2 linked regions of the Canis lupus familiaris genome follow. The protein of the gene in region 2 purifies or fractionates together with the protein of the main gene of each other region. This does not show direct contact. Links are inferred from orthologs where the notes say so. Each region holds a gene or a part of one and is shown on either strand. Other genes may lie near its edges.

Region 1 (4,930 bases), on a different chromosome or scaffold from region 2:
TATGTGCAGTTCACAAGCTCTCCACTAAGAAAGCCAAGATGGTTTCACTGGGAATTCTCTCAAACGTTTAAGGAAAAAAGAACACCAGTTCCATACAAACCCTTATAAGAAAGGAAAAAGAGGAAACATTTGCAACTCTGAGACAAATACACTACAAGAAAACAAGACAGCACTATTCTACGATCACAAATGCAAAAACTCATGAAATGTTAGCAAACTGAAACCAACAGTACATCAAAAATTCATACACCACTAGGCAAGTCAGATTTATCCAAGGACTGCTGGATGGTCTTACCAACTGAGACGTCAAACAATGCAAAGAACTAAAATAACAAAAGTCATATGATCATCTTAACAGTCATAAAAGAAGTCATCAAAATCCAACAGGTACTTCTGGTAATTTCTCAGCAAACTAGGAATGGAAAGGAGCTTCCTCAACCTGACAAATGGGTATTTTTAGAAAACAAAACAAAACAAAACACCACCAAAAAAATGCCCAACACTCAACATCATATTCAATGATGAAGGACCGAAGGCTTTTCCCACTAGGAGCAGGAGCTAAACAAGAGAGTGTGGGTTTACCACTTCTACTCACCACTGTTCTGGAGGTTCTGAGCAGTGCAGGGACACAAGACAGGAAATAAAAGGCATGCAGACTAGAAAGAAGTGAAACCACCTCTATTCATAGGTGATGTGATTGCTTAGGTAGAAAATCCCATGGAATCTACAAAAAGCTACTAGAAGCGAGGTCAGCAAGAGAGCAGGGTACTAGAGTGATACACAAAAAACAATTTCTATTTCTATATACTAGCAAGAACCAGAAATTAAAACTTATACCATACTACTGCTTGTAATACCACCAAACGTACGAAACGCTTAAGAGTATTTCATAGAAGATGTACAAGACCTACACACCAGAACCAGAAATCCTTACTGAGAAATCAAGGAAAAGCAAACAAAGCTGTGCCGTGTCATCAGTTGGCACGCCTGGTACCATCAAGACATCAACGTTCCCCACATTAATCTAGAATTTGACACAATCCTAATCAAAATGCTAGTAGGCTTTATTTTTTAGAAATTGGCAAACATCATAAAATTCATACGGAAATACAAAAGAACAGTACATGTGTACTCAAGTGAATAAAATTCCTTAAAAAATCGGATAATACCAAGTGTTAGCAAGAACATAGAAAAACGGAGCTCTCACGTACTGCTGCCCAGATACAAGATGGTATAGCCATTTTGAAAACAGAAAATGTCCTAAAGTCAAATGTACACTTGCCTTATGACTCTGAGACTACTTCTAGATATTTACCCATGTCCACATGAGACTTATTCCTTCAGGTTCAGAACAGCTTTATTCCTACCAACTGCAAACTGTCAGTTATCCTGGTGAAAGGCTGTAGCTGTACTCCCCAGCAACAAAGAAACAAACTACTGGAACTGGGTGCAGACAACTGCCCCACACAGGTTCCACCGATGAGACTTAAACTGGTCCAACAGACCAACAGCAAGGAAGTCAGTGATCCGCCAGGACCAGGTCAGGAGAACGAACTCTTTGAAGTGATGTAAATATTCTAGGGATCCCTGGGTGGCGCAGCGGTTTGGCGCCTGCCTTTGGCCCAGGGCGCGATCCTGGAGACCCGGGATCGAATCCCACATCGGGCTCCCGGTGCATGGAGCCTGCTTCTCCCTCTGCCTGTGTCTCTGCCTCTCTCTCTCTCTCTGTGTGACTATCCTAAATAAATAAAAATTTTTAAAAATGTTTTAAAAAAAATTCTGTATGTTACCATGATAACAGCATTTACACCTCAATATAAGTCACTAAAGTACAGGTTCTATGCAAATTATGCCTCAAAAAGTCGATCAAAAAATATAAACTCATACAAAGTTATTACAAAGAAGGGATGGATGTCCACCAAAATGCCAATAGCGGTCTTCCTTGAGTGGCGGGAGTACAGGTGGTTTTAATTTATTTTTGTCCTTTTTTGTGATGTCCATAGTTCTTACAACAAACAGTTATGCAAACAGAAAGTTTTAATTCCAATGTCTTCATAGAAACGGAGGTATCTATCACACGGTCATGCAAAATGTAGGTGGTAGGTAACGCACTAATCAACGAATGCTATTCTCTGAAAACCAGTTATCAGGAAAACCGGTCTGCTGATCAACGGAATACGTAAAGTAATGCTCCTTTTCCACAATTACGTTGGAAACGGAACATCTTCGGACGTAACAAAATCCGTTTCCGCGTCTTAACCGCAACGATCGGAAAATAAAGAGGAGGAGGGCCGCGTGGCCGTGCGGCAGCGACGGGGGGGAAGAGCGCCCGCGCGGGGTCCGCCTCGGCCCTCACCTGGTACAGCTCCTCCAGGTTGTACCTGATGGACGTGCTGCTCTGGATGGCTCGCACCGCCTCGTGGAGCTTCTGCCAGGTGTCCTGAGTGTAGTTGTCCGGCAGCCGCGGTCTGTCTGCGGGGCGGGGGCGGGGTGAGGGTCGGCGCCCCCGTCGCGCCCACGATCACGCTCACGGGCCCGCAGCCCCCCCGCTTCCCTTCCCGGAATGACCCAGTCCTGGGGGCCCCGGGCGCGGACCGGCCGCTGCGGGCCCCCGCTGCGTGGACGCCGGAGCCGGGACACAGCCGGGGCGCTTCCGGGGACCGGACACCCCTTCGCCGCCGCCCGCCAGGCGCCAGGCCCCAGGCCCCGGGACCCGCACTTCCGGCGGCCGGGGGCGCCCCCCCCCCCCGGGATTCCCTCTCCGTAGGACCGGCACTTCCGGCGGCCGGGAGCCCCCCCCGTCCCTCCCCCCCCCACCGGGAGCGGCACTTCCGGCGGCCGGAGGCGCCCCCTCCCCCCACCCCTGCGCCCCCCCGGGACCCCCTCTCCCCGGGACGGGCACTTCCGGCGGCCGGGGGCGCCCACCCCGCCCCGCCCCGCCGCCCCGCCGCCCCGCACCCACCTCGGAAATTCTTGATGACGAGCTTCTTGGAGCCGCCGGCGCCGCCCGGCTTGGAGGCCACGGCGGCCGCGGCCAGGGACGCGGGCTTGGTGAGGCCGTTGGTGTGCCCGACCAGCGCCGACAGGGCGCCCTTCCTGGGGGTCTCGTCGGCCATGGCGGCGGCCGGGAAGCAGCGGGCGCCCCGCCCCGTCCCGCCTCCCCGGCCGCGCGGGCGGGCGGGCCTCGCGTCAGCGCCGCCCCGGCCGCCCAACCGCCGCCCCGCCGGCCCGGCGCGACCCCGACCCCGACCCCGGCCCCGGCCCCGGCCCCCGCCCCGGCCCGCCCCCGCCCCCGCCCCGGGCCGCCCGGCGGCCGCCGCGCTCCTTGTGGAACGTATAACGGTCGAGGGGGGCGGCGGGGCCCAGCTTGCCCCGGGCGGGAGCCCAGGCACCCAGAGGGCGCGGACCGGGCGTCCTCGCCGGGAGGCGGTGGCGGATCGAAGCGCAGGCCGCGGCCTTCCTCAGCCCGGGCGCGCCGCCATCCCGGCCCGGGGCGCACGCTGCCGCGGACTCTCTTCCTCCGGAACCCGCGTGCGGGGGAGGCGGGCCTGGGGGGCGCGCAGGTCCGGACGGACCGGCGGCCGGAAGTGAGGCGGACGCAGCCGCGCGCGCAGGCCCCGCCCACGCCCACTTTCCGCGGGGGGTCCGGCCATGGCGCACATCACCATCAACCAGTACCTGCAGCAGGTGGGTACGCGGGGCCGGGGCGCGGGTGTGGGCCGGCGGGAGTCGATGCGAGAAGCTCCACCGGCGTCCGCTCGGGGGTGTGGCCGGGGGGGCGGTCCTCGGGGGCACCGTGAGGGCTTAGGGGCTCCTGTCGCCGCCGCCGCAGCCGCCGCCGCCGCCGCCCCCGCCCCGCCGCGGGCCTCGGGCCTCTCCTCTGACGGTGCCCGCGGGGTGGGCCTTTGAGAACCCGTTGGACTACAGGCCCTCGTTGGCGTCTTATGTGCGTCTTAAAGCCCTCGAGGGCTTGGGGAGGCGCAAGGGCGAGCCTGCCGGGCTCAGACCCGCGACCCCACGCCTCGAGTCCGGTCTCCGCCCGCCCTGCCGGGTCTGCCCCAGCTTCGGCCGCGCCCCTCGTTCCCGCGCCGGCGAGCTCTTACCGTGGTGCACGGCGGCCCCTAGTTCGCACTTTTCCTTGGAGGCGGTGCCGCGGCCGTCCAGGGGCAGCCGTTCCGACCCGAGCTTCTGGCCCCAGACGCCGAGCCTTTCCACGCAGCACTCCGGCCGGCAGCCTCGCCGCAGCCAGCCAGCGCTTTCGGTCCCAGGCAGACCCCCCCCAGATCTCGGGGTCGGAAGTGTCTCTTGAATCTTACTGACCCTGTGGGTTTGCACACGAGTCTGCTCCCTGTTTCGTACCTAACACATCCTGGGTCGGCAGCTGCCTGCGCACAGGTAGGTCTTTGTTGCCCCGGTCCCCGGGATTACTTCCCAGCAGCTCTCAGGTCAGGGCTTGCTTTGCTTTCACTCTCCCCGAAGCTTGCAGGTTCTCTTGTTGGTTCCTTGGATGCTCCTGGAACACACGCATTCCTGGCCAGAGACCAAGGGCTGGAGCTCAGCACAGCGGTGGTGTGGGGTCAGCCTGTCAGTGCCTGTGGGCCCGGAAGGGTGCCTGCACCTGCGTCAAAGAAGGCATCCACCCCTTGTGTGGCAGGTGACGAGCAAGCCTGCGTTTCGCTCAAGGGATGGGGGAGACATTGCTTCGCTGCTCAAAGGGACTAGCCACATCAACAGCCCTGAACAGCGGCCCAAGGGAAGAGCTAGTTGTCAGGGCCTTGTCTTCCCAGCGCTCACTTCCAGTTTGAGCAGCCCAGGGAGGGCTGTCCGTGCAGTGGTCGGCAGTCACTAGGCTGTCCCTGCCTCCCGTGAGGCCCTTTTTATTCAGTGCTTGGTGCTTCCACACGCCTCCAGTTTCTGTTTGGAGAGGACA
Region 2 (4,209 bases):
TTTTTTGAACATTATAAGTAATCATTATAAAAGGAATATAATCTTATTACATAGTTTAGAAAACAGAAAATTATTCATTATCCATTCATTCTAAACCATCCCATGTTAGCACTGAAAAATACTTCCTTATCTTCTGCTTCATGTCATATTTTTAACGATTTTTATCATGATTTTAACCTATATTGTCCCAAGCATTTGTCCATGTTGTTATGTAGTCCCTGTGACCATCATTTTAATGACTGCATATTAATCCACCAAGCTGTTCAATTGTTATTTACTTCCCAGATTATTGAGAATTTAAGGAGTTTCCAACATGCTTTTAGAAAGAAGTTCTCTGTGCATATGTGTTTTTTCCTCTCAAAAGTTTGGATTTGGGGTTAGGGGTGAGAGAAGCCTAGTGATGGGACTGTCATAATTCTATACAGATCACTAGCCCAAAGACATTGCAGGATTGTCATAGTACATGGTTGAGGTTCATAATGATGACCCTGACATATGAAGAGAAAAGGTAAAATCATATGGGAGTAAAAATGCATGTCAGAAAGATTCTAATCCAAAATGGTTAACAGTAAGTTTTGTAATTAAAGGGATATATTTCACAAGGGATAAAATTCACAATTCACAAATGTATATCTAGCACTGCTGGGCAAAACATTACAAAGTTTCATTAACTTTCAAAATAGAATATTTTGTGTCACACTGTAAATTTCACTATAACACTAACCTGATATTATTTACACAGTCTTCATGAGCTTCAGAAAGTGTTTTTATGTGCTTTGAAGATATAGGGTCAAAAAGCAGAACTTCAGTCTGTTCACAAGCAACAGTCAGCACTGACCTGAAAGCAAAGGACACATTTTTCTTTAGTTTTCTAGCACTCTCTTATTACTGATATTCACTTATTTATAATTACACAAACTATAATAAATAACTTCTTTTTGCTCATGTTAGAAGCAAATATCTCAAAAACTGAAACTATCTGCTCTTGGCAATAGTAGGAAATGGTACTCTCAAACATTATAGTGGAGCATAAACTGGTACAGCTTAGGTTTGGAGAGTACCTGATGTATCAAACTTTTTTTAATGTGTGTACTTTTTGACTGAGCAATTTTTTATGGGAACTTAATCTAAAGAAATAATCATTTATAAATACAAAGAAGCATATATAAAGATATATTTCACCATAATGAGGAACTGAAAGTAACCTAAATGTACATGAAAGGAGGAATGATTGATTATATAGCCATGATATGTAATACTTTGCAATATGATGCAACATTTATTTTTATTTTATTTTTTAAAAGATCTATTTATTCATGAGAGACACAGAGAGAATGACAGACACATAGAGGGAGAAGCAGGGTCCCGGCGATATGGGACTCGATCCCAGGACACTGGGGACATGACCTGACCCGGAGGCAGACTACTCAATTACTGAGCCACTGAAGTGCCCCTATGGTGCAACATTTAAAAGGAAAGGGATAGTTTCATATGGATATGAAAGAACTCCAAAACATATATATTTTTTGAAAGAGAGAGAGCATACTCCTGAGAGAGAGCTAAGGAGTGAAGTTGGGGAGAAGCGGAGGAAGACGGAGAGAGAGAATCCCAATGCAGGGCTCAATCTCATGCCCCTGAGCAGAAATCAAGAATTAGACACCTAACCCACCGACCTACCCTGGTGCTTCCAAATCATTTTTTAAAAATATTTATTTATTTATTCATGAGAGAGAGAGAGAGAGAGGCAGAGACACAGGCAGAGGGAGAAGCAGGCTTCATGCAGGGAGCCCCATGCAGGACTTGATCCCAGGTCTCCAGGATCAGGCCTGGGGCCGAAGGCGGCGCTAAACCGCTGAGCCACCCAGGCTGCCCCCAAAACATTTTTAAATAAAAGAGCTGGTTGTAGAAAAAACATGCATAGATGAGGCAACTTAGAAAAAAAAAGTCATATATAGCAAAATTATATATTTCTGTATCAATATCTATTAAAATGTACTGCAAAAGGTTTGGCATATATCCTACCAAACCAGTTAGATATAGTCAAACTTAATTTTTCCTTTATGATATTTAGTACTGTCTCATTTCAGACCTTTCCTTTTTTTTTAAGATTTTATTTATATATTAATGAGACAGGCAGAGACATAGGCAGAGGGAGAAGCAGGCTCCCTGCAAGGAGCCCGATGTGGGACTTGATCCTGGATCCCAGGATCACACCCTGAGCCGAAGGCAGACGCTCAACCGACTGGGACACCCAGGCGTCCCTAGTAAATGTTCTTTTAAAATTTTGTTTGTTATTGGTGTACGGAAATGCAATGGATTTTTAAAATTATTTATCCATCAATCTTGCTATTTTAATACTTTATCTGTAAGTTTTATACTTTAGGTTTTGTTGATAATCATACATCTATAAACAAATGCTCTGTTCTTGTTTAATACTTATTTCATTGCTGCACTGGCTAAGACTTTCAGTACAATGTTAAATGCAAATGTGAATGTAATAGGCACTCCTCTCATTCCTGTTTTTTTAAGAATACATTCACCGTTTCATCATTAAAGTACAATGTTTGCTGTAGAGTTTCTTTTCTTTTTTGGGAGTAGATTCCTATTATTGGATTAAGGAAGTTCTACTCAAATTTGCTGTTTTTCCATTAATATATTTTCAGTTGTATAAAATGGTTTCCAACATTTATTGAAATTACCCTAGATTTTTCCTTCAATATGTTAGTGTAGTGATTTACATTATTTTATTTTCTATACTTTTCATTTCTACCATACTGCTTAATTCAGTTGGCTAAAATGGTGGGCTCAATTTCTGGCTTCCCTCCTTTTGTAGATCTTGGTCCTGAAATTTACCTATTGCCTTAATTTTCCAATCTCTTCAAACATAATCTTTTTATACCTTACATTAAATATTTTATATTTCTTCTAGCTTTTCTAATTATTCTCTGTTGAAAGGTTGGTCCAAACCACCTACTCTATTTCTGGAAAGCTACAATCTCTATCTCTTGCATCTGAAATTATGTCCCCTTTTACTCTGAATATGATTTACTTGGGGATTTTTTTTAAGGATTTCATTTATTTATTCATGAGAGACAAAGAGAGAGGCAGACACAGGCAGAGGGAGAAGCAGACTCCATGCAAGGAACCTGATGTAGGACTCAATCCCAGAACTCCAGGATCACGATGCCCTGAGCCAAAGGCAGCCACTCAACTGCTGAGCCACCCAGGTGTCCCTGGGGATTTTTTTTTTTTTTTTTTTTTTTTTAAGATTTTGAGAGAGTGCCTGTGAGAGCAGGAAGAGGGACAAGCAGATTCAGCACCAAGAGCCTGAGGTGTGGCTCCATTCACACACCCGAGTTTGTGACCTGAGCCGAAATCAAGAGTCACTCTGATGCCCAGGGGATTCACTTCATCAATATGAGTGTTTTTCATTTTTATTTGTCTTTTCAAAGACAAGATTTTCTCTGTTGAGTATTTGTATTGAAATTCTACTGTTACTATATTTCCTTCCTTCTGCTTTCTTCAAACTTACTTTGCTATTATTTGCAGATAACTTCACTATTCCCTATTTCAGATGGATACTTAGCTCATTAATTTTCCTTGTCTTCCTTTCCAGTTTATTAATGATTGTAATTTTCCTACTAAGTACAGTTTTACTTACAAGTTTTTTTTTAATTTTTATTTATTTATGATAGTCACACAGAGAGAGAGGCAGAGACATAGGCAGAGGGAGAAGCAGGCTCCATGCACCGAGAGCCCGATGTGGGATTCGAACCCGGGTCTCCAGGATCGCGCCCTGGGCCAAAGGCAGGCGCCAAACCGAGGCGCCACCCAGGGATCCCTACTTACAAGTTTTTAGACATATGGTACTTTCATTATCACTTAGTGCTAAATATTTCTAATTTCCATTATCATTTATTTGGCCCATATGTTATTTATAAATGTTTTCTTAACTTGAAAACACATGAGGTTTTTCTGGTTATCTTTTTTGTTATTCATTTCTAATGATTACATTGTGTTGAGAAACTCTAATTCTATGATAATCTTTTTTTTTTTAAGATTTTATTTATTTATTAATGAGAGACAGAGAGAGAGAGAGAGAAGCAGAGACACAGGCAGAGGGAGAAGCAGGCTCCATGCAGGGAGCCCAACGTGGGACTTGATCCTGGGTCTCCAGGGTCACGCCCTGGGCTGAAGGCAGAAGCTCAA

What was found. The genes of interacting proteins can lie anywhere in the genome.
Region 1: the proteins of DCAF10 (region 2) and CUL4A purify together in Homo sapiens (affinity purification with mass spectrometry; 4 studies listed by BioGRID and IntAct, with this or other methods). This does not show direct contact. The link is inferred for Canis lupus familiaris from reciprocal best matches to the Homo sapiens genes DCAF10 and CUL4A.

Annotation. Positions count from the first base shown.
Region 1 is NC_049243.1:60,780,070-60,784,999, reverse strand, and holds the start of CUL4A (cullin-4A), read right to left. Parts: upstream 3,134-4,930; 5' UTR 3,117-3,133; coding exon 2,963-3,116; intron 2,473-2,962; coding exon 2,357-2,472; intron 1,701-2,356; exon of another isoform or gene 1-1,700. Other genes in the region: PCID2 (PCI domain-containing protein 2), read left to right, coding at 3,652-3,687. UniProt on the Homo sapiens protein: Core component of multiple cullin-RING-based E3 ubiquitin-protein ligase complexes which mediate the ubiquitination of target proteins. As a scaffold protein may contribute to catalysis through positioning of the substrate and the ubiquitin-conjugating enzyme.
Region 2 is NC_049232.1:54,446,644-54,450,852, reverse strand, and holds part of DCAF10 (DDB1- and CUL4-associated factor 10), read right to left. Parts: intron 839-4,209; coding exon 725-838; intron 1-724. UniProt on the Homo sapiens protein: May function as a substrate receptor for CUL4-DDB1 E3 ubiquitin-protein ligase complex.